6 linked regions of the Sus scrofa genome follow. The protein of the gene in region 6 interacts with the protein of the main gene of each other region in a pairwise test. Links are inferred from orthologs where the notes say so. Each region holds a gene or a part of one and is shown on either strand. Other genes may lie near its edges.

Region 1 (4,106 bases), on a different chromosome or scaffold from region 6:
AAAAAGATGCCTCTGTTTCTAGGGGAAGATAGCCAACACTATCATGGATGACTAAGATGGTCCTGGGTTTGCTTTCTCAAACTCCACTACTTCCTAATTGTAGGACTTCTTGAAAGGGAAATTAACCCCTCCAAACCTGTTACCTCATCTGTAAAAAGAGTATGATTTAAAAACAGGGGAGGGAAGAACTGAAACAAGAATGGCACAAAGTTAATAATTAATGAAGCTGATTGATAGACATTTCACTATACTATTCTCTTTTATGAGTTTGAACATTTGCATAACAAAAAGGAAAAAGAGAGGGAGTTTAAAATAGTACCCACTTCATGTAATAATTGTAGGGCTTAAAGAAATCATCATCATTATTACAAGGAATTTTTACAAATCCTAGTTATTACCAGGAATGTTTAAATATCCATTTAATCATCCCAACAACCCAAAGAAATGCATAGTAATCATCTCCATTTGGCAGATGAGGAAACTGAAGCTCACATAAATTAAACAAATCCTGCAGCTGGCACAGGGCTGAAATGCGATCTGAAACCAGAGCTATCTGACTCTACCATCGCAGCTGCCTTTATTTCAAGAATAGCTCATTGTGTTTGACGTGGTTGATATCTGCACGACTATGGTATTGCTTATTCATCAAAGGCAACGGTTTCCTCGCTCTTTTCTCATAGCAGACCCCTTTTTTCAAATGCAGCCAGTACGCAGAACTTCAGTAAATAAAACCCCTAAAAGCTGAACAGCTCTGGTTGAGGTGGGGATTGGGACTCCAGCAGGGCCCCTGAAGCACCATAGGGTCTATGAGGATCCCGTGAAAACTGCAGATAGAAGCCATCAAAAACACCAACCAAACCCAGAACCCCAAGAACTGCAATTAGGGACAGCCTCGTTGGTATAACGCAGCTTCCAGTTTTCTGTCTCCCATCACATTTGATTCTCATTATCAACTCTGAGGTGGACAAGGCAGGGCATATTAGCCTCACTTTGCAGATGAGAAAATCAAGGCCAAAGGGAGTTAAGCAACTGGCCAAAGGTGTGCCAGTTCGCTTCTTGGCCAAGCACAGACTGGAATTAGAGTCTGGCTCCATTAACTCCCTGTGACCTGGCAGAGAGGGTGCCATCGACTGGAAATTGCCATTGACCCTTGGTCCATAAAGTGGACAATCAGCTCCTTGGCCACTGAGAGCTGAACACAGCCCCACAGGCCCCCTGCCAAGGCCTTGTCCCAGAGCAGATGGTGGTGGGCAGAGGAGAGGGGCTCGGTGGCACTGGAGGGCCGGATAGCAGGATTTTGGCTGTAGATAGGCCATTGCCATCCCAGCCATGTCCTGCTGAGCAGGGAGCAAGGGAGGCGATGACAGCCAAAGTGCTTTCCACCTTCCTGTGTTGCAAGTAAGGGAGCTCAAAAAAGGACAGCAGGTAGCGCAGAACTGGGGAGCAGTTACACTTTGCATAGAAATTCCTGAAACCAGATGCAGCTGATAATTGCCTGAATGGCTCCCTCACTCCAGAGCATCTCTGAGCAGAGCTGGAGCATGTGTTGAAACAGGCAACACTTAATTATCGCTTAGTCTTTAATTAGCACTTAATTATTAACACCTAATCCATCTGTAAAATGGGGACACTAATACCTGCCTCATAGAGACTCTGGGAGGATTAATTAATGTTTGCAGCCCACTTTGAAGATGCAAAGCAGCAAACAACTGCTCAGTGGTGGCATGAATAACTCGGTGGATTTACTTGCTCTTCCTAACGAGGTCCCTTCTTCCTCTCTGTTGCTCCCTTTCCTTTCTAATATCCATCCCCAACAACATCTGCCCAACTTTGCCCTGGTGGAGAAACATTTAGCTCTGCGTTTCCCAGACACAGGATTTCCCATCCAGGAAACGGGCTATTTACAGCCATCTTCCCGCACTTTAATTTTCTATTATGTCCTCTGAATATGTCAATGCCTTCCCAGTAAATATTTTGATGTGCGCTCTTGCAGCAGCTTCTGTGGAGGCTGAATGGGACAGCTGCTCCCTGTATTAGGGAATTCCAGATGTGGTTTAAAACCATCAGACTCATCTGTGTCAACGCCTAGCCTTTGGGGGTGGGAGGGGAGAAGGATCTCCCTGTGCGTCTGAGGAAAGCCGTGGACATCTAACCCTCAGCCTTGGCTAGGGTGGCTTTTCAAGGTCTTCAGACCTACATCTGAGTAGCCTATGCCTTGGAATGAGAAATTGCCCTTAGTGGGCTGGGTCAGAGGCAGCAGCAATACAGCCCTGGTCTGGTTCTTTGCCCAGGTAACTTCAGGACCCCAATCAATGCTCCTATAAAGACGGGGAAAAAGGACCATTGTGGGTAGAGGAAATATACACAACCTTTAGGGTTTAGCCAGATTCAACAAGAGGTCAGAACATTCCCCCGGAGGGTGAGCCCTCATCTCCTCCCTCCTCCCCTGGGTCATGAAAGGGGACACTCACTCTTCTTGGAAGCTGGGCCCGTTGTCTCTTGGAGTGCCAGCCACAGGGGCAGAGAGCTGCTCCTTTGAGGTCCTGGGCTGCAAGGCCTCAGGCAGGCCCTGAACTCTCTTCCAGATTTCATGGCAAGTCTTGTCTAAGCTGTCTTGGGGTGTGTCCTGGTGGATCCAGATGTATCTGGGAAATGGGCCTAGGGCGGAAGGGCGCTTGGCCACCAGGGCCGAGGACAAAGCCAGCCCATTCCCACTGGCCATCCTCTTCCTCTCTTTCTGGAAGCCCCTTTGTCCACCCAGAGCTCGAAAACAGGGCGACCATCCACCACCACCCCTCATTCACCAGAAAGGGAGATGAGGATGGGGCAGAAGCAGGTCAGTTCTGTCTGGCTGTTGGTCCAGCAAAGTGACTCTGTTCAGAGGCCTTCGATGTGTGTATGAGTGGTGGCTGGATGACAGCTTTCTTTTAGGGAGGGGGAACTTATTTTGATTTGTTTTTATTTGCTCTTTCCTGACTTTTGCCCCCCTCACCCCCTCCCTTAGAAGAAAATATTTAAAAGTCAACAAAAACCAGTAGCTTAGTAACCGTAGAATCCCCCTGTGCTCAGGAACCAGGCGCCTGAGCCGGCAGAATGACATCTGGGAACAGATGAAAGGGGAGGGCTGGCTCTCCCCACAGTCCCTGGCTCTCCCCACAGTCCCTGGCACTCCCCCGTTGCGACACGTCCGCAGCAGCCCCTGACACCTTTTGGTGTCTGGGGCTCAGCGCATCATCGCTGGCTAAGCCTGGAGGATGACCAGGTGAGGGCCTGGCACTGTGCTAGGCACCAGGGTCCAGCAGCCTGCCATGGGATTCTCGTCTGGCTTTCCCAGGGACCCCGCTCCCACCTAGGGCCAACCGTCCCTAGGTCGGCAGAGGCCGCTACCCCCTCCCCCCCCACTTGCTCGCCCACTGCCGCCTCGGGTCCCCCCTCTCTTGGCTACTCTTCCGCCTGCAGGAACACTGTTGAGTGCCCTGGCGACCCCCCCGGAGACACCTGCCACGGCCCTAGGGGTCGACGGGAAGGGTCCCAATGCTTTAAAAGAGCGCTGTCTCAGCGGGGCAGCTGGGGCCGATTCGCTTGCCGGTGGCTCCCACACCCTTTCCGTCCAGCGCTGGAATTCCGCGGAGGGTTTCAAAAGCAACGGCTCGGTGCGCGCGCGCTGCGTCCTAGGTTGGGAGGCCCAGGCCCTCCGGTGGGCGGAGGCCCCCAGAGCGCTTCCCCCGTGAAAAGTCGAGGGCACCGCGCCCTCCGCCTCGTCCCCCTCGCACCTCCGCACCCTCCTGAGAGCCTGCCGGTCCCTGCCCCAGGATCGCTGATTTCACCCCTAACTGTCCTTTGCTTGGGTGCTCACCGTGTGCCAAGCGCCCGGCTTTCCGTGGCCGGTTCACTCCGAACCAGCTCATGAAGTTAGTACCTTTACATATTATCCTTCCACGTTTGAAGAAACCCAGTCACAAAGTCCTGAAGGGACTGAGCCCACCAGGAACAAGGTAGTTGGGGTTCAAACCCAGGCACCCCAGGCTGCTGAAATAGACCGGCCGGGTCCTCCAGCGCTGCGTAAGCCTTCCCTGGGGGTGGACGGAGGTGCAGAGAGAAGGGCT
Region 2 (3,500 bases), on a different chromosome or scaffold from region 6:
TTCATGGTTATTCAAAGCCTTCAAGACCAAAAGACTAGAAACAACCCCATTTCCTCCAGTAGGGGTCTGGATAAGTGAATGGTAACTACCCACATCATGAAATATAATGCAATTAGGGGAACAGGGACAACATCACACAGACATTGTTATGCTGTCACTCACAGGGTGACACTGGCATTATCACTTTCTCACCAGTGTAGGCACTGTTACACATACCCACAGGCAGATGAACACACACTCTCACAAAGATGCTATCACGCTGCTACACAGGGACACTGTCACAGGATTGAGGCTGATATTACATAGATATGTGCCTTGTCAACCTCAAGCAAAGGGACACGGTCACAAGGGCAGAGAAAAACAGTCACAAAACATAAACACCCTCATAGGACACAGTCACATGGTGGCAAAACTCCCAGGGTTCTAATTTCAACCCAAGGAGAATCACAGGAACACAACCACACTGCCATGTGGATCAGGCATAGGGACAGGTAAAGAAATGCTGCCACATTGTCACACAGGCAAGGTAGCATCAGCAATACTCATAGAAACAGAGACCCAGTCACAGGGAAACAGGCTGGCTACCATATTCAGGGCAAAGTCCTGGGGACACAGCCACAGTTATCCAATGGCACAGGGATAGACACTGTCACACAGGTATGGGAAACCTGTCACCTAGGGACATGAGGTCAAAGTCACCCTTATCCACGGCTGTAGATTCCAAGGACAGTCTCATTGTCCTGCATAATGACCCAGACTCAGACTCTGGCACTCAGAGAGTCACAGTCACCCACAGGTGTGTGGCACTCACCAGGACTGCTGTCACATGTGCCCAGTTACCAAGACTTTTATACTTGCAGGGACAAAAGCAAGCTGCCACCAAAGGTTACAGTGTCACCCAGAGGCACAGGGACATGATCATACCATCGCACACTGACACTGAGAAATTCACGTAGGCATTCAGAGTTCATACAAACAACCACACACACCTCCGCACTACAAAGACACATACATTGTCATCCGTGTTACAGGTCCAACTGCTATGGACTGCATGTTTCCCTGCAAACTTCATATGTTGAAACCCAACCTCCAGTGTGATGTCTTTGGAGGTGGTGACCTTGGTGCCCTTGGGAGATGACTAGGTCATGGGGACTTTGCCTGCATAAATGGGATCAGTGTCCTTATAAAAAGGGCCCCAGAGAGCTCCCCGGCCCTTTCCAAAGTGAAGACACAGTAAGAAGGCATCTGTCTGTGAATGTGGGAGAGGGCTCTCACCAGACACTGGATCTGCCAGCGCCTTGATCTTGGACTTCCCAGCCCTCAGAACTGTGAGAAATAAATGTCTGTTGTTTAAAAGCCCCCTCCCCTATCTGTGGTACTGTGGTATATTATAGCAGCCCAAATGCACTATCACTCACCAACAGTTGACACTTCTCTATTTCTCATGGTGACAGGCAAATTATCATAGTTACAGAGCATCCATACAACCCCTGGTCCCCATGGCTAATATCACATTAATACTGACACACATCAGTAGCCCATGCATACATCAAGACTCCGTCACAAATTCAGGCTGACAATCAGGTTGAGACCCCTCCCACCCCGAGAGATTCATACACTGAAACACTCACAGAAACACACACACTGAGGACACCACAGGGGCCAACATGACAAGGCAACCACCTAGTCCAGCGGTCTGCCCATCTTTTCCGTAAGAGTCACAGGGTAAATATTTTTGGCTTTGCAGACCACATAGTCTTTGTTGCCACTACTTGGCTCTGCTGTCAATGCCAAAGCAGCCTTAGGTGACAGTAAATGAATGGGTGTGGCTGGGTGCCAATAAAACTTTATTTACAAAAAGGCAGTAGCAGATCTGGCCCAAGAGCTTTGGTTTGCTAACACTTGATCAAGTGGAAACTTTGAGTGGGACAAAATGAGAAACTGAGGCCCAGAGAGGGTCAAGAATGGGTTCCAGTCACATGATGAGTCAGAGCACTCACCTCCCTGCCCCAGAAAGGAACCCCCTATGTGACTGGGAGCAGAACTCTACAAGATAGGATGCAGGCTAAGCTGTATCAGGGCAACGGACTCACCTTGGGCCTCATCCGGGGCCGCCTGGCTCTCCAGCTGGCAGGCCTGCAGTGCCCGGCGGAGCTGCATGCGGATGATGTCAATCTTGGTCTTACTGTCCTGCAGCATCTGTTGGGCCGTCAGCAGCAGCTTCCGGTCCTAGAGGCAGAGATGGGCCGTGAGAGGAAGGCTGGCCAGATGGGAGACTGACCAGCAGCTCTTCTGTCCACACCAGTGCAGGCCCTGAGTAACCCATGGCATTTGAATCCTGGCTCTGCTACCTAAGACTGCTATCTGTGTGACTTTGGGCAAGCCACTCAACCTCTCTGGGCCTGTTTCGTCATCTACAGGACTGGGATTGCTAATTGGATTGCAACCACCACTCGGCTGAGGATTAAAGGAGCTAATCTGTATGTAGGGCTCAGTGCTGTGCCTGGCACCAGCAGGCACTGTATTTGTGTCAGCTGTCAGAAAGGCATACGTGTGGCTCAGTGTTCCCCGTGGTGGGTGTAGCCCTGACAGGAGTCACGTAGGTGGGTCCAAGTTCCCTGACCAGGGAACTCCATATGCCTTGGGGTGGCCAAAAAAGAAAAAAAATATACTACACATCCCTTTGTTACACCTCAATAAAAGGTTTAAAAAAAAAAAAATCTGGCATGGTCTGTGCCCTCCCACGTAATATTCACCTTTGTGTGTGCACACAGGTATGGGTGCTCTCCCGGGTCTCTAGCTATAGGTCTGGCTGTGCTTGTGGGTGTATCTCTGGGTGTGGGTGCAGACCTGTGACTGTGTTCTTGGTGTTGGTATAGCTGGGGGGAATGACTGTGTGACAACTCTGCTCTCTGGGTGTGAATTTAATGGTGTGCGTGTCTGTGTGTCTAGACGTCTGTTGGCCTGTACTGTGTGTCCTGGGGTTATTATGATGGTATGTCTCTACGTGTCCAGAGAGCCCTGTGGTAGTCATCCTCCATGTGTCCAAGTGTTGTTACTGCTGTGTCTCTAGATGTTATAATGGTGTGTGTGACTCCAGGTGTTGACCTGCACGTGCACATGTCAGAGAGATGCCAGTAGCAGTGAGAGGCTGCATGTTGCCCTGTCCACAGAGGCTGCTGGGTCTCCAGGGCTAACTGCTGTGTGTCTGTCTGACATCACCCAGTCACTCTGTTTCCCACATACCACCATGAGCTGCCTGCACCCCAGTTCTGCCACTCAGTCATTCATCAGTCCCTCTGTTCCCAACCCAGAGGGCCCAAACCTCCCATGGGGGACATGTAGGTACCCCCCCAAACCCCCTCACTGTGTGATGTGCTCCAGGCGTATGTGCACACAGGGGTGTGTTCACTCGTGCTGCCCCCACCTTGGTGCTGCCGTTGCTGTACGTCTGGATCATGTTTTCCGCCCCCTGCTTCACCTTCAGCTCGATGGCCAGC
Region 3 (3,500 bases), on a different chromosome or scaffold from region 6:
ACCAGAAAAACAGATTCACTAAAGCACTGCACACTGGATTTGACAAGAGAGCACGTTTATAACTTAAATTAAGGGAACCCCTGTGCAGTTACTATTCTTTTATAACTGAAAGCACTGATTATGCATGGACCCCAACAGCTAAGGTGGGTGGGAGGAGGGTGGGGGTGCTTCCTTCTCTCTGGGCCAACACAGATCAGAGGGCAGTTCAAGAATCTTTGGCTCCTATTTCCATTTTCTTCTTTCCCTACCAACGTGCAGGAAACTGTTATACTTTTAAAAATGGGATCTGTCACTAACAACACAATGAGGCCTAACCATGAATTTTCTTCTATCATTTCCACTTTTGGTAGGTGACTGGCAGATATATTTGAATTGGTAGTGCAGCAATCAAGAAAGCATTAACCAGGATAAAGGACTACACTGAATTGAACTCGAATGATAGGACAAGAAGAATTTACTGGGTTCACCTTTATTTGGGGAGAATAAAAAGAGATGAAACCTCTGAGTATTCAGTGGAAAGGTCAAAGAAAGAGGGAACTGCAAATGAAGGCATTTTCTCAAAACAGAAATGCAGCTGTAGAGTTAAACTTTATTCAGGGTTCGATCCAGGTTCTTCTTTCCATTGGTAGGGAAAGAGGAAAACGGAAATAGGAGCCAAAGATTCTTGAACTGCCCTCTGATCTGTGTTGGCACAGAGGGGGTGAACTGCCCCCCCCGCCACCCCCCACCCCACCTTAGCTCGGTTTCTCTTTGTGAAACAATGGCTGGTTCTCAGGCATGGCTGCACAGTGGAAATGCCTCAGGTGCTATGAAAGCTTCTGAGACCTGGACCACAGGCCCTGAGATTCTGACCCGCTAGTCTGAGGCACATCCTGGATTTTGCACATCTCCTCATGGGGTTCTAATGCATGGGGGACAGTCAGTTTCATACTGGATGGGATGGGAGGGGAAGGGAAGAGAGGGTTGTTATTTATTAAATGCCTTCACACACCCCCCCAAAAAAAAACTTCCAGTAAACATGGACTCCTTCAGGTCACATTTTTAACTTGTCATTAATAAAGCCTTCACTTCTGTCTCCATCTTTTTTGAAGCTCTTTTGGGGAACCAGAAAGCTGCAGTGTAGCCATAATGATTCCTACATTCAAATCACCTTGCAGACTCAATCACTCAATGGGCCAGCTGCATTTACCAAGGTGTCAGTGAACTAGAAAGGAGCCCAGAGAAATTTCTGCTTACAAAACTCCTCACTCCCAGAAGCCTACTTTTTTATACTTGCATCTGAGAGTAGATGGCAGTGACCAGCATGTAGACACCTTAAAAAGATCCTTGCTGAGTCCCGGCAGAGCATTCGGGCCCTTAAGTGCACAGCCTTTGTGCTATGTCCTGATTCAGATTTCAGGCAGAGGTGAGAGACTTCCCTTTGAAGGTGAGAACCTCTAGAGTGACAAAACGTGGGTGATGTCACTCTGGCTCTGCTGCCGTAATTCAGCTCGCTGCGTGGGAAGGGCAGAGCTTGCTGTTCCTTCAGAAGCAAGGTGATTGCCTTTCCCACCTGCGCAGACCCGGAGGACTCGGCCATCCAGCGACGTACCTGATATTGTCACGAGGACATTCAGTCCCTCTAGCACATCCATCTGCTGAAACCGCCTCCGGTTGATCAGATTATAAACTTTGCCTTGCCCACTTCGGTCCAAAAGCATCAGGCCATTTTCGGTTCCCACCAGGAGATTTACACCTGCAAATTGAAGAAGCCCCCCAAGACTGACTCTTATGGGCTTTACTCTTCTACATCTAGGGTCCCCGTAAAAAACCTAAGAAACTCCCTTGCAAATATAAACTAACGGGCAAGCAGGCACTACAGTAGGGAGTGGAGAAGTAGAAACTCTGAGACAGTAATTAAATCACCATCCCTCTGGTAACGAAATTAGTTCTCTTTTATGAAGTGGCAGCAGCGTTCATTACAGGTAGCTCTGTACTACCTAGAATAGAATTTTTCTCAAGAGGGGCCTGAGGCACAGCTGTGAAGCTGACACAGTTTACCTTGATTCCTTTCCTGTAACACCCACCCTTTTCTTGGCTCTCTCTTTAAATCCTCCCGAGACTTCCCCAAGGTTCACCTCACTCCTATTCATGCAGTGATTTCCAGCCTACCCACCTTGGGCATAGATGCCCTCCTCCCATATCCTACAGGAGGAAAAGCCCTCCCTCCTCCTCACACCAAGGCTTAATTTGTGTCCTACACCCTTTGCTGGGGACATGATGAGCCAATTCAAGTGAAGGTGTTAAGGGCCTGAGGGTCAGGCAAATACTGACTGTGATTCTAGACCAGTCCACCTCCCATGCAGTTAATTCCTGTTACAAAAACTCCGGTAGGTAGGTAAGTGGTCTTGTCTGAATAGCTACGATCCTGAAGATTCATCCTTAGGCAAATGAGCACCCCGTGCACTCTCACCACACACACAGACGTGTACACATGCTGGGAGGTCGACTATACAATGGCCTATATTCACAAACAGGTAAATGTCCAACTTCTCTGGCTTATTGTACAACTTTCTTCTAAGTAACATGAAGGTCTGCTCTTTCAACCACATGTTCATAGAAACCATGACACATGTCTTTCAACCATCAAGTGTTTCAACCACAGGCTTGACCACATTTCCCATGAAATAGCTTCTAGGTTTCATGCTCGGCCCTGCTAACATCTCAAATGCGTTTGCCCTTGTAAAATGGTGGTGCCCTGAACTAGGCCTAGTGTGATATGTGGGTACAGATGGGCCATGTCCTCTCTTGATGTTTATGGTAACACAGACCAGGATTTTGATAGGCTCTCATCACACCTATCCTGAGTCTGAGGTCATCTCAAACCTGCAGATCTTTTTTATAAGAACTGCAGGTTGATGTTTTGAACTAAAATGGAAGACTCATCATTTGTCGCCCTTTTCAGGTTTTATCTTGCTACTCTTACTGGTATGGCTTTTGACAATTCACTGATAGATTCTGGGCTGCTTTTCTTCTACAAGGGGTCACATCCCCTTGTAGAATGTTGTATGCATCAGGGAGACAGAATGTGGAGCACATCACCTAGAGCTGGGCACACAGGGGTAGGTACTGAATGGTAGCTAGTCCTGTTGTTGGCTTTAGTCCATCACTATTACATGACAAGGTCATTCCGAGTCCCATTCTGTTATCCTGGGAATTAGGGTATTAGCTCTTTCTCCATATAATATTGTTTTCGAACTTTCCTGAGGTCAAGATGATCCCAAGTCTAACACCCAATTCAGTCAGCACCCTTCTGATGGTTAAGACCCATAGGCTTTTCACGTTTGAGGGTCAATTCATTAATGAACAGTAAAAAGCACCAACTCACCCCACAGAGCTGCACAAAGTATTTCTGAGTTGAATCGCTTCTTGTATTTTCTGATTTCTGGCGTGTCGCTATGAGGCCGAATGTTGGTTGGGTTTACGTTTACCACTGAAATCTTTCTTGCTTCATTTAGTTT
Region 4 (4,051 bases), on a different chromosome or scaffold from region 6:
CAACTGAGCAAGGGCAGGGACCGAACCCACAACCTCATGGTTCCTAGTCGGATTCGTTAACCACTGCGCCATGACGGGAACTCCTATCCAAAGTTTAAAAAGAAAAAAACGAAATTTCATTACAATAATAATAAAAAAAAAAAGTAAGCCAGAACAAGCAAAATGCAAGAAATTAAGAAATCTCTTAAAAGGGAGTTCCCATCGTGGCCCAGCAGAAACGAATCCGACTAGGAGCCATGAGGTGCAGGTTTGATCCCTGGCCTTGCTCAGTGGGTTAAGGATCCGGTGTTGCCATGAGCTGTGGTGTAGGTTGCAGACGCGGCTGGGATCTGGCGTTGCTGTGGCTGTGGTGTAGGCCAGCAGCTGTAGCTCTGATTAGACCCCTAGCCTGGGAACCTCTATATGCCTTGGGTGCGGCCCTAAAAAGCAAAAAACAAAACAAAGAAATTTCTTAGAGGTTTACACACAACCCCCCTCCCATCCCACCAATAACTTCGAATAAGTACAGCCCAATCTGAGAAATCCTACTTGGTAGATTTTAAAGAGGATTCTCCAATGTGTGGCTGTCATTATCTTCAAAAAGATATGGCTCATTCACTTATGCATTCATTCAAAAAACATATGCCCTGATACCAGGTCTTGTTTACTTAGGAAAAGAGAATCAAATAGGACACATCCAGCCCTCAATCCAGGCTTCCTGCCTCCAGTTCATGAATAGCCTTTGCTCTCTAGTCCCACAACCCCCACTCTGACCCAGGAATCTACATCTTGGGTCTAGCCTAAGAATTAAGTATTTCTCCCCTAAATCACCACTCAACTCTGACTCCAGCCTCCAAACAGATATTTTACCAGGGCACCCATTTCAGTATGGAAATCGGAGCCTCGCAAGCTAAAGCACAGACACCAGGGATATTAGAGCCATAGATGAATGCACTTGGGGCATTTTACTTTTAGGCATTTTTCCACACTGAACTTGAGTTACACGCTTCATGTAGGAGGCACTCCACAGCCCTATCACCAGAGACTAAAAAAGACTGCAGGACTTTGGCCACTGCATAGGAATCCTGCTGTTACTTATTTTTGCACATCTGTCTCTCTCCCAGAAGTCATCTCTTCTCCAGTTTAAACATCCTGGTTCCCTCCGTGCAAGCTATGAGGCAAGGCTGTCATTAACTTTATTTGAAACTTTGATGCAGCACTGCTACACTTAATCACAGCTTCAACTAAGTATAAACAACAGTTAATCTAACCTACTAGACCCACTCAGCAAACACTAGCCAAACAAATTTTGTTGGGTACTGTCCTAGGTTCTAGATACCAAGATCTGGTCCTGTCCTCTTGCAGTGTTGTCTACTGGGGGAAAGAAATAGCAACTAGCACTTACTGAGCAATTACTATATGCCAGACTGTGTTCTAAAAGTTCCAAATGTAGTGACTCATTTAATTCTCAAGAGAGGGAGGTATTATTACCATCCCCATTAGGAAACTGAGGCTCTGAGAAGTTAATAAATTCACCCACATTCACATAGGAGGATGTGATGCTTGCAAAAAAACAAAGTACACCAAAACAAACGGATAAAAGAGGTGTCATGGGACCAGTGGGGGGGTGCAACTACTTTTCACAAGACGAAAAATTCCAGAAGAGTTTCTGAAATAGTTTTAGAAGGAGGGTCAGAAAGATGCCAAGCGTAGGAGGATATTCCAAGAAGGTGCAAAATGTAAAGATAAAGAGCAAGAAAAGACATGGTGTGCTCTGAAAACTGACAAATTTGGTGCCCTATAAACACAAACCGCACTAAAACCTTATTTCTATTTTACTCCCTCTCTATCATCCTTTGGTTCACGAATGGCATTATCCACTACGTTTCGGGAACCCTGTTTGTCCTATCTGGCTTCTATCCAGGCTGAAGTGGAATGACAGGAAGAGCGAGGCCATGAGATGTGTAGGGAGGGCAGACAAGTTATGCCTTGGTAACAGTCGTGGGGATGCGGGCGTAAATGGGCGCAAATAACCAGGCACTCAAACTGCTTCCCCTCTTCAAGGAAGTCAAGGAAAAAACAAAGTTGTGGCCACAGCACTTCTTCATTTCTGAATATCAGAGAGAGGCACGGTGCCTGGGCTGAGAAATGGGGGTGGCTCAGAAGATCGACTCTCGCTGTTCCTATCTCCCCGACACACCGTGGGTTCCACCAGAACGGAGGGCGCGTCCTCAATTCAACAAATGTTCACTGAGGGCCTAACCAGGGCCCCGCAAGTAATCAAGCAGGTAAATCAAGGTCCCTGTCCTTAAGGTTCTCAGATAACGCTGAGCCCTGCACCGGGTAAAGGTCCGGGGGTCGGCCCCGCACCGCCCCCCACGCAGACCCCGCAGGCATCCTCCCCGCCTCCTGGACCCCCGCGCGCGTGCGCATCAGCAGCCGGAGGGGCGGAGGGCATCCGACGGCGGGAAAAGGGGACTTACCTCGGTATTCCTCCACACACCCCCCTTGATCATAATTCGAGGCATCTTGGCGGCGGAGTGTCTCGGCAAGCAGCCGAGTGGAGATTCAGAGAAGTAGTAACGGCGCTGCGGCCACGGGACCCTAAGGCGCCACTTCCTCTAAGCGCGACCTTCTGCTTTGAAGAGATCTGCGCAGGCGCAAGGGGGTGTTGCGGGGACAGGGTAACAAATCTCGCGAGAACTCAAGTGGCTGAGAGGAAATAAGTGCCTTGCTGTTAAAGCGCTGCTCTAGAAAGACTGACAGAAAAACATCAAACAGCTCTAGCCAAAGCGGCCTATGCCCGGCGCAGGCCCAAAATAGGTGGAGGAAACCACGGCTCTCGCGAGGTGTCAGCGGGGACTGTAGTTTCGTTGGGATTGGCCGTGACGTCACCTAGTGGCAAAGAGTGGGAACGTCGCGCGTGTGGAGTTTAAGCTCGCCCGGTTTAAAAAGAGCTTTGTTAATTTATCAGTTTAGCATGTTATTAGGCATTTAACGCATGGAAATCTATCCACAGAATACACAGGAAAAACCCATTGTTTATTTAAGACCAAATTTCCTAACCTGTAAAATGGAGATAATAATAGTACAACTTCAGAGGGTTGTCCTAAGGATTGGGGGGGGGGGGCGGGGGGAGGGTTAGGACTGCGCCCGCTGCGTTTGGAAGTTCCCAGGCCAGAGATCTAATCAGAGCTATAGCTGCCGGCCTACACCACAGCCACAGCAACGCAGGATCCGAGCTGAATCTGCAACCTGTACCACAGCTCAGGGCAACACGGGATCCTTAGCCCACTGAGGGAGGCCAGGGCTTGAACCTACATGGTCATGGATACTAGTCAGATTCATTTCCACTGCGCCACAACTCCCTGTCCTAAGGATTTAAATGAGATGGTAAACCTAACCATAATATTTGATACATAACAAATGCTCACAAAAGTAGCATAAATCATAGCTGGGGCTGGGATTCAATTCCTGGCCCAGGAACTTCCATATGCTGTGGGGTGGAAAAAATATATATATATTATTACAATAAGGGCAACCCCAAGAGATCAGTGGTTGTTCCAGAAAGCTGCAGAAATGTCATGTCAGAGATTTTCATTCATTGCTATTCAGTTTATGTGGATTAATAGTAGAGCGTTACCATCCACAAACATGAGAAAGGAACTCCTGTCGTGGCTCAGCGGAAATGAATCTGACTAGTATCCACGAGGACGCAGGTTCCATCCCTGGCCTCGCTCAGTGGGTTAAGGATTCGGTGTTGCCATGAGCTGTGGTGTGGGTTGCAGACATGGCTCACATCTGGCAAGGCTGTGGCTGTGGCATAGGCTGGCAGCTACAGCTGTGATTAGACCCCTAGCCTGGGAACCTCCATATACCACGGTGCAGCCCTAAAAAAAAAAAAAAAAAAAAAAAAGATAAAAAATTAGACAAAATCAGGCTGGGTTGAAATCTTGCCTCTCTCATCAGCTTGAGTAATAAACTTGCTGAATGTCAGTATTCTTATCTGAAAAGTGGAGTTAACAATTCATACCTCATAAATTTGAGGGGCAAATTAGTTGACATACCTAAA
Region 5 (3,500 bases), on a different chromosome or scaffold from region 6:
GGAGCTGTAGCCACCAGCCTATGCCAGAGCCACAGCAACACGGGATCCGAGCCGCATCTGCAACCTACACCACAGCTCACGGCAACGCCGGATCCTTAACCCACTGAGCAAGGGCAGGGATCAAACCTGCAACCTCATGGTTCCTAGTCGGATTCGTTAACCACTGCGCCACGACGGGAAATCCCCGCCAAGATTTTTTTTAAAGGATCTCAGAAATAACGTGTTGGAAATTGTCATTTAGAGTCCGAAAAGCATCATGGTACAAACCTCCACCTAGTGCCTGTATCCTTGTATGTGTGCCTCTCAGCCCCTCTCCTTAGGCCTCAGACAGACAACCACAGAAATCTGTCAGTTAGATATCTATGGCCCATCTCTTTTTTTTCTTTCTTTGTTTTTTCATGGCCACACCTGCAGCATATGGAAGTTCCCAGGCTAAGGACTGAATGAGAGTGGCAGCTGCCAGCCTACACCACAGCCACACCAGATTTGAACCACATCTGTGACCTACACTACAGCTTGTGGCAACGCTGGATCCTTACCCCACTGAGCGAGGCCAAGAATCAAACTCACATCCTCATAGACACTATGTCAGGTCTTTGACCCACAGAGCCACAACAGAACTCCCTGTGGCCCATCTTAACAAGCTAAATTATTTCACTGAAAACAAACAGTAATCAAGCACCAGGCAGTAGGCCAGGCATCATGCATCCAAAAATATTTAAGAGGAGTTCCCGTCATGGCTCAGCAGTTAATGAACCCGACTAGTATCCAAGAGGATGCTGGTTCAATCCCTGGCCTCCCTCAGTGGGTTAAGAATCCGGCATTTCCATGAGCTGTGGTGTAGGTCACAGACACGGCTTAGATCCCACGTTGCTGTTGCTGTGGTGTAGGCCAGCAACTGTAGCTCCGATTCAATCCCTAGCCCAGGAAACTCCATATGCCATGAGTGAGGCCCTAAAAAGACAAAAAAAAAAAAAAAAAAGTCTGAGTCAAGTGTAGAACTTGGACCCACAAGCAAATGATTATTAATGTGATGAGCACTGAATGGGGCACATCCAAAGGGCTGAGGGACAGGATGGAAGGAGAGGGTCATCGGGGGTGGGGGGGGGGGTAGGAGAGGTCTCACACAGAAGTGGCTCTGCCACCTCCCTGGCTGATAAATCCCACAGCCAGGCTGAGACAGGGCAAAAGGGCCGGGGCCAAGAACATCGGATATGCAGTAGAGAGCAAAGGAGATCCACTGCTGGGAAGGAACATGAGCCTCACATTTTCACGTACTCCTACCAAATCCTAATGAGACTCGACTTCCCTGCTTACGCATGCATATCCCCACATGCACACGTGCACACATGCACACAGCCCAGATGGAAAACACAGTCTCTGAACAGGATGAGCCAATGGGTTGCCACAAAGCCTCTCTGCGCGGGTTTCTCTGGGGACTTCTCAGGGTAGAACAGCCCTGTCTACCCCCAGCTGTACCCCCTCAGATGAGTGGACAGCAAGTCATGATGCTGGAACTTGCTTCTATACCGCCTGTCCCAATTTCCAAAGCACTCACATTCCAGCTTGAGCCACAGAACAATCTTGTGTGATGTCAGCATCTCTAAATAAGGAAACTGAGGGCCTGAGAAGTTTAAGGACCAGAAACAAAATCAGTAGTCCCTGCTGCTGAGGATGCCATGAGCACTGCGCATGCAGAAGCAGCTCCAGATCGCCCCCAGTTTGGGGCATCATCATCTTTATATCCACACAGCGACTGACTCCACCTCCCCGGCTCCCTGTCCCCCTTCTCCTGTTTAAAACAGAGCAAGGCTGAGCTAACCCTGCATCACCCAGACCAGAAGCTGCAGAGGAGCCTGAAGCCAACAGAGAGCGAAGCAAGCATCTAAGGGACAGAGGATGAGAACGAGACCAGATTAGAGTTCCAACAGAAGGAGGAGAGATGCAAGTGTAGCAACATTTTTCCATGGCCAGTCACCACAGGGGCTTCCAGTGGGGACTGGGGCAACCCCAGAACCGCCGTTTCCTGCGGCCCCCCCCCTCCTCAGTGAGACCATCCCAGCCCACAGGCTCGGGACACACCCACCTCCAGCCGCCTCCGCTGGCCCTGCAGGCAGTGCAGCAGCGCAGGCTCACAAGTGCGGAGCAGTGGGTCCCAGAGGTCAGCATCCTGAGGGTGGCTGCCCTCGGGTCTCGAGGGATCCAGGGAGCAGAAGGAGGCAGCGTCCATGTCCAGCAAAGGAAGCATCTCGCACTCCAGTCTGGGGCTGTCCCCCGCCATCTGGGCAGCATCTGCCAGGTCCTGAGGAGCCTTGAGGGGTGAGGCGGGAGAGAGAAGCTGAGGGTGTTCATGGGGCCCGTCCACACCAGCAGCCTTGGCCACTGTCTCCTCGGGGCTCTGATGAGAAGCCTCAGCCTCTCTGGGTGGCGGACAGCCTTCTGCTTCTCCACGTTCCCCGGCAGAGACCAGGGAGAGGCGAATGAAGCTGAAGTTGGAGGTGAAGACATCCTGAGAGCCAGGAGGGGTGGGGTCGACCTTGGGGCCACTTCCGAGGCTGCAGTTGGTGCCACTTCCCTCCTCTGGGGATAGAGAGCCTCTGGCCCAGGTGTCCAGGGCTCCTTTCCCACAGGCTGCTTCCCGACTCGGGCTCGGAGCCTCCCAACTGTCCATGGATGGTGGCGCCCCCTGGCATATGTTGTCCCCGGAGCCACACGACCTAGTCAGCCTGCTGGGCAGGGCGCGGCCACCTCTGGGCTGAATCCCTGAGAGACCCAGGGTTCCTCTCCCTGTTGTCAGAGCCAGGCCTCGGGGGCCCGTGGAGGTCCAAGCAGAGGCTGCTGTGCTCCAGGGAATGAGGGTCCCGGTCGAGGGACCCTGCCCCTGGCCTCCAGGGTCACGGCCACATGGTCCTGTCCTGGGTTCAGAGTGCTGGGTCTCCTCACTGCATGCCCCTCCCTGGGCCCGGAGCAGACTGCCCACTGCTGGCGAGAAGAACCTGATCCGGGGCCCAGCTGCACTTCTCATGTAGCCTGGCCTCCGTGCCAGCCGCCTCCTCCGAAAAGACGCTGCAGGTGGTGAGCCATCTTGGCGGCCTGGGAGGAAAGAGGACACGCACCATCAGCACACACATCTCCCCAGCTCAGCTGCAGCTGCATTTGGAGAACGTCCCCGGGTTGGGGGCAACCCTCGGTGCATCTGCCAAAGAGATGCTGGTGCAATGGCCATGGGGCCAAGCTGCTACCCAAACCCTGATGATCCCTGGGAAGCGTCTGCCTGGGATGTGTAGAAACTGCACAGCATCCCAACCCCTCTATTTCCAGAGCAGCCAGCACTGCTGTGAGTTATACTGACAAGACTGCAAGCGCCTCAGAGACCCAACTACGGCAGCACATTCTGAGCCTCCAGCATCTTGCCTGTTGCTCTTTTAGGCACACAGAGCTTTCCCCCTGGAGCGGCATGGAAAGCAAGCACTCTGAAGCCAAACACCAGCACACTCCCA
Region 6 (3,500 bases):
AAGGTTTTATTGGACTTACATATTCAAAGAAAAACTGAAACATAACTCTTTTACCCTTTAAAATTTTAGATTAGCTACTACGGAAAACAGCAATGAGATTCCTTAAAAAACTAAAACAGGGAACTCTACCCAATATTCTGTGAGAATGTATGTGGGAACAGAATCTGAAAGAGAATGGATATCTGTACATTTATAACTGAATCACTCTGTTGTACAGCAGAAATTATCACAACATTGTAAATCAACTATATGTCAAAAAACTTGAAAAAATGGAAAAATACCCCAAAAAACTAAAAACAAAGCTATTACATGATCCAGAAATCCTTTTCCTGGACATATGTCTAGAAAGACAAAAACTCCGATGACCTACATGCCGAGCAACAACAAAAAGATACAGGCACCTCAATGTTCACTATTTAAGTAGCCAAGACAAGGAAACAATCCAAGTGCCCATCAACAGATGACTGGTATAAGAAGATGTGATATACTGGAGTTCGTGTTGTGGCATTGTGGCGCAGTGGTTAACGAATCCGACTAGGAACCATGAGGTTTCGGGTTCAATCCCTGGCCTTGCTCAGTGGATTAAGGATCCTGCATTGCCATGAGCTGTAGTGTAGGTTGCAGACGCGGCTCAGATCCTGTGTTGCTGTGGCTCTGGCATAGGCTGGCGGCTACAACTCTGATTGGACCCCTAGCCTGGGAACCTCCATATACAGTGGGAAGTGGCCCTAGAAAAGGCAAGAAGACAAAAAAAAAAAAAAAAAAAAGATGTGATATACACACACACACACACACACACACACACACACACACAATGGACTATGACTCAATCATAAAAAAGAATGAAATACTGCCACGTGCAGCAACATGAGTGAACCTAGAGAATATCATACTGAATGAAGTAAGTCATACAAAAATAAATACTATATGGTATAACTTATATGTGGAATCTAAAAAATAATGTAAATGAATCTATATACAAAACAGAAATAAACTCACAGACACAGAGAACAACCTTGTGGTTACCAAAGGGTAAAGAGAAATGGGGAGGAATAAACTGGGAATGTGGGATTAAGAGATAGGAATTACTATATACGAAATAGATAAGCAATAAGGATTTACTATATAATACAGGGAACTATATTCATTATAATAATCTATAATGGAAAATAATATGAAAAAAATATAAAACTAAATCACTTTGTTGTACAGCTGAAACTATAACAATATTATAAATCAACTATATTTCACTAAGAATAAAAATTCTAGCTTGAGTAATTTCATATAATAATTTTAAATTACTATACCTTGTTATCTGTTGTAATCTTAAGTTGATGCTGAAGTTTTGTAATTTGCTCATTCAATCGGTCAATTTCTACTTCTTTTTCTTGCATTATTTGAGCAAATTTCCCAAATAGTAAATGTTGGTCCTGAGTAGAGATGGCACCAGATTGCTTTATGGCGAATCCCAGTTTTTCCATTTCATCCTAGGGTCAAAAATAACCATCTCAGTAGGATAGGCATTACAATGTGATTTTTAGAACATTCTGTCACTTAACTCTTACCAAGCTATCGTGCCCAACATGTACAAAAGGAAAAAATTAGAGCTTTCATAAAATTACTGTAAATAATTCTTAAAATAGTTTGACAAGGGTCTCCAAAATTTTTCATTTATGACAAATTCAAAAGTTTATGTTGGGTTGAAGATAAATTCCATGAAAATCCATTTGCAGTTAATGTTTCCCTGTTAAGTATTATTTAGCAGCTGGATTTAGCAAATGCTTAACAGTAGAGCTACACGAGACCAAACAATGAGTTATTTAGAGGCAAAGTTTTTCCTAACTAATTACCTTAAATAATTTGTTTTCTTGTTCAAGTTCTTGTAGACGGGTAGTAGATTCTTTTTTCTGTATTTCTAATTGCATATGCAGTTGCTGGACTTCTTCATTCTTATTTTCCAGTTCTTCTCTGAACTGTTCTAACTGTTCTTCTAAGTTCGTGATCTTTGACATCAAAATTAGCAAAAGGAAAGAGAAAAAAAACTGTCCATAGAAATGATTACTTTTCAAAAAAGAATGAACAGTGCTGTGTTAGTTCAATAGTATATAAGCTTAAAAGACATGAGCCATAAGAATACTGGAAAGTAGTCTCCTTAACCCAGATGTAACTGTGTGGTTTCCAGACATTTTCAAAGTGAACACCTTTAAACTATCCTGCCCAAAGCAAAGAGATCTTGGGAGGAAGGATACAAGGAACCTTTTTCCTACCTAAAATTATCCTCTGGTAAAGCATAAAAGAGTTATGGGAGAAGAGTCCACATTCATTTTAAAACTTATTTTATGTTAAATTAATTGCTATCAAAAAGGCTCAAGAAAGCTGTAGATTTAAGTCAGTTATTTCAGCCACCAAATGAGACTAGCTCAATTTAGTCCATACTAATACTTAACCTAATGAAAGGGGTGGCAGCCATGAGCCTTACTTGAGCAGAAGGGAGCAGAGTCAGACTCTAAGACCATGAGAGCCTCAGGTCTAAAATACAGAAACTTAAAAATTAAGTTAGTAAAACCATTTTAGAAAAAAATTATAGTGCTGCTATTTGCAGGACAATTGAAATTCGGCTCATTTCTTAGCAGAGATTACCGTTAATGGTAAAGCAATTGCTCTCTGATGGTTATACAGAAACTGAAACTAATGGTGAACATTAAGAGCTAGTATTTAAAAAATTGGGTTCAAGTGAGGACAAGAATAGTCATTTAGCTCGATGCTTTGTGCTTCTTAACACATTTTTAATGAATGAATTTTCGAATGTGTATGTACCCAATGATCAAAACTGCTGCATTATAAGCAACCTAAGGGAGTTCCCGTAGTGGCTTAGTGGTAACGAAGCTGACTAGTGTCCATGAGGACACAGGTTCTGTCCCTGACCTTGCTGACTGGGTTAAGGATATGGTGTTGCCAGAAGCTGTGGCAAAGGTTGCAGATGTGGCTCAGATCCCACATTGCTGTTGCTGTGGTATAGGCCGGCAGCTGCAGCTTCAATTCTACCCCTAGCCTGGAAACTCCCATATGCTGTGGGTGTGATCCTAAAAAGACCCCTCCCCCCAAAAAAAGCAACCTAAGGAGTTCCCCTCGTGGCTCAGCAGATTAAGGACCCAACAATGTCTCTGTGAGGATGTGATTTGATCCCTGGCCTCACTCAGTGGGTTGAGGATCAGGCGTTGCTATAAGCTGTGGCACAGGTTGCAGATGCAGCTTGGATCCAGTGTTGCCATGTCTGTGGTGTAACCTCCAGCTGCAGCTCCAATTCAACCCCCAGGCTGGAACTTCCATGTGCTACAGGTACAGCTATAAAAAAATGATAGCAGTAACAAATAAAATAAAAGCAACCTAAGATCCAAGAGCTTAGAAAGCACCTATAAATCATTTATTACCTTAGAACTTGAAAGGGGGTATATTCTGATTATACCCCAACATGAAATCAGAATATCTTAGCATTAGCA

Evidence for each region.
Region 1: the proteins of AKAP9 (region 6) and C6H1orf94 interact in binary tests that used the Homo sapiens proteins (3 or more experiments, as listed by UniProt). The two-hybrid records come from large-scale screens. The link is inferred for Sus scrofa from reciprocal best matches to the Homo sapiens genes AKAP9 and C1orf94.
Region 2: the proteins of AKAP9 (region 6) and PKN1 interact in a two-hybrid assay, tested with the Homo sapiens proteins (2 studies listed by BioGRID). The link is inferred for Sus scrofa from reciprocal best matches to the Homo sapiens genes AKAP9 and PKN1.
Region 3: the proteins of AKAP9 (region 6) and TNIK interact in a two-hybrid assay, tested with the Homo sapiens proteins (2 studies listed by BioGRID and IntAct). The link is inferred for Sus scrofa from reciprocal best matches to the Homo sapiens genes AKAP9 and TNIK.
Region 4: the proteins of AKAP9 (region 6) and CDC5L interact in a two-hybrid assay, tested with the Homo sapiens proteins (2 studies listed by BioGRID and IntAct). The link is inferred for Sus scrofa from reciprocal best matches to the Homo sapiens genes AKAP9 and CDC5L.
Region 5: the proteins of AKAP9 (region 6) and DISC1 interact in a two-hybrid assay, tested with the Homo sapiens proteins (2 studies listed by BioGRID and IntAct). The link is inferred for Sus scrofa from reciprocal best matches to the Homo sapiens genes AKAP9 and DISC1.

The regions. Positions count from the first base shown.
Region 1 is NC_010448.4:90,439,627-90,443,732, reverse strand, and holds the start of C6H1orf94 (uncharacterized protein C1orf94 homolog), read right to left. Parts: upstream 2,801-4,106; coding exon 2,472-2,800; intron 1-2,471.
Region 2 is NC_010444.4:64,814,684-64,818,183, forward strand, and holds part of PKN1 (serine/threonine-protein kinase N1), read right to left. Parts: coding exon 3,428-3,500; intron 2,230-3,427; coding exon 2,094-2,229; intron 1-2,093. UniProt on the Homo sapiens protein: PKC-related serine/threonine-protein kinase involved in various processes such as regulation of the intermediate filaments of the actin cytoskeleton, cell migration, tumor cell invasion and transcription regulation.
Region 3 is NC_010455.5:109,660,846-109,664,345, forward strand, and holds part of TNIK (TRAF2 and NCK-interacting protein kinase), read right to left. Parts: coding exon 3,368-3,500; intron 1,736-3,367; coding exon 1,592-1,735; intron 1-1,591. UniProt on the Homo sapiens protein: Serine/threonine kinase that acts as an essential activator of the Wnt signaling pathway. Recruited to promoters of Wnt target genes and required to activate their expression. May act by phosphorylating TCF4/TCF7L2.
Region 4 is NC_010449.5:39,383,146-39,387,196, reverse strand, and holds the start of CDC5L (cell division cycle 5-like protein), read right to left. Parts: upstream 2,801-4,051; 5' UTR 2,508-2,800; coding exon 2,463-2,507; intron 1-2,462.
Region 5 is NC_010456.5:58,908,455-58,911,954, forward strand, and holds part of DISC1 (disrupted in schizophrenia 1 protein), read right to left. Parts: intron 3,094-3,500; 5' UTR 3,026-3,093; coding exon 2,087-3,025; intron 1-2,086. UniProt on the Homo sapiens protein: Involved in the regulation of multiple aspects of embryonic and adult neurogenesis. Required for neural progenitor proliferation in the ventrical/subventrical zone during embryonic brain development and in the adult dentate gyrus of the hippocampus.
Region 6 is NC_010451.4:72,017,626-72,021,125, reverse strand, and holds part of AKAP9 (A-kinase anchor protein 9), read right to left. Parts: intron 2,043-3,500; coding exon 1,851-2,042; intron 1,488-1,850; coding exon 1,308-1,487; intron 1-1,307. UniProt on the Homo sapiens protein: Scaffolding protein that assembles several protein kinases and phosphatases on the centrosome and Golgi apparatus. Required to maintain the integrity of the Golgi apparatus. Required for microtubule nucleation at the cis-side of the Golgi apparatus.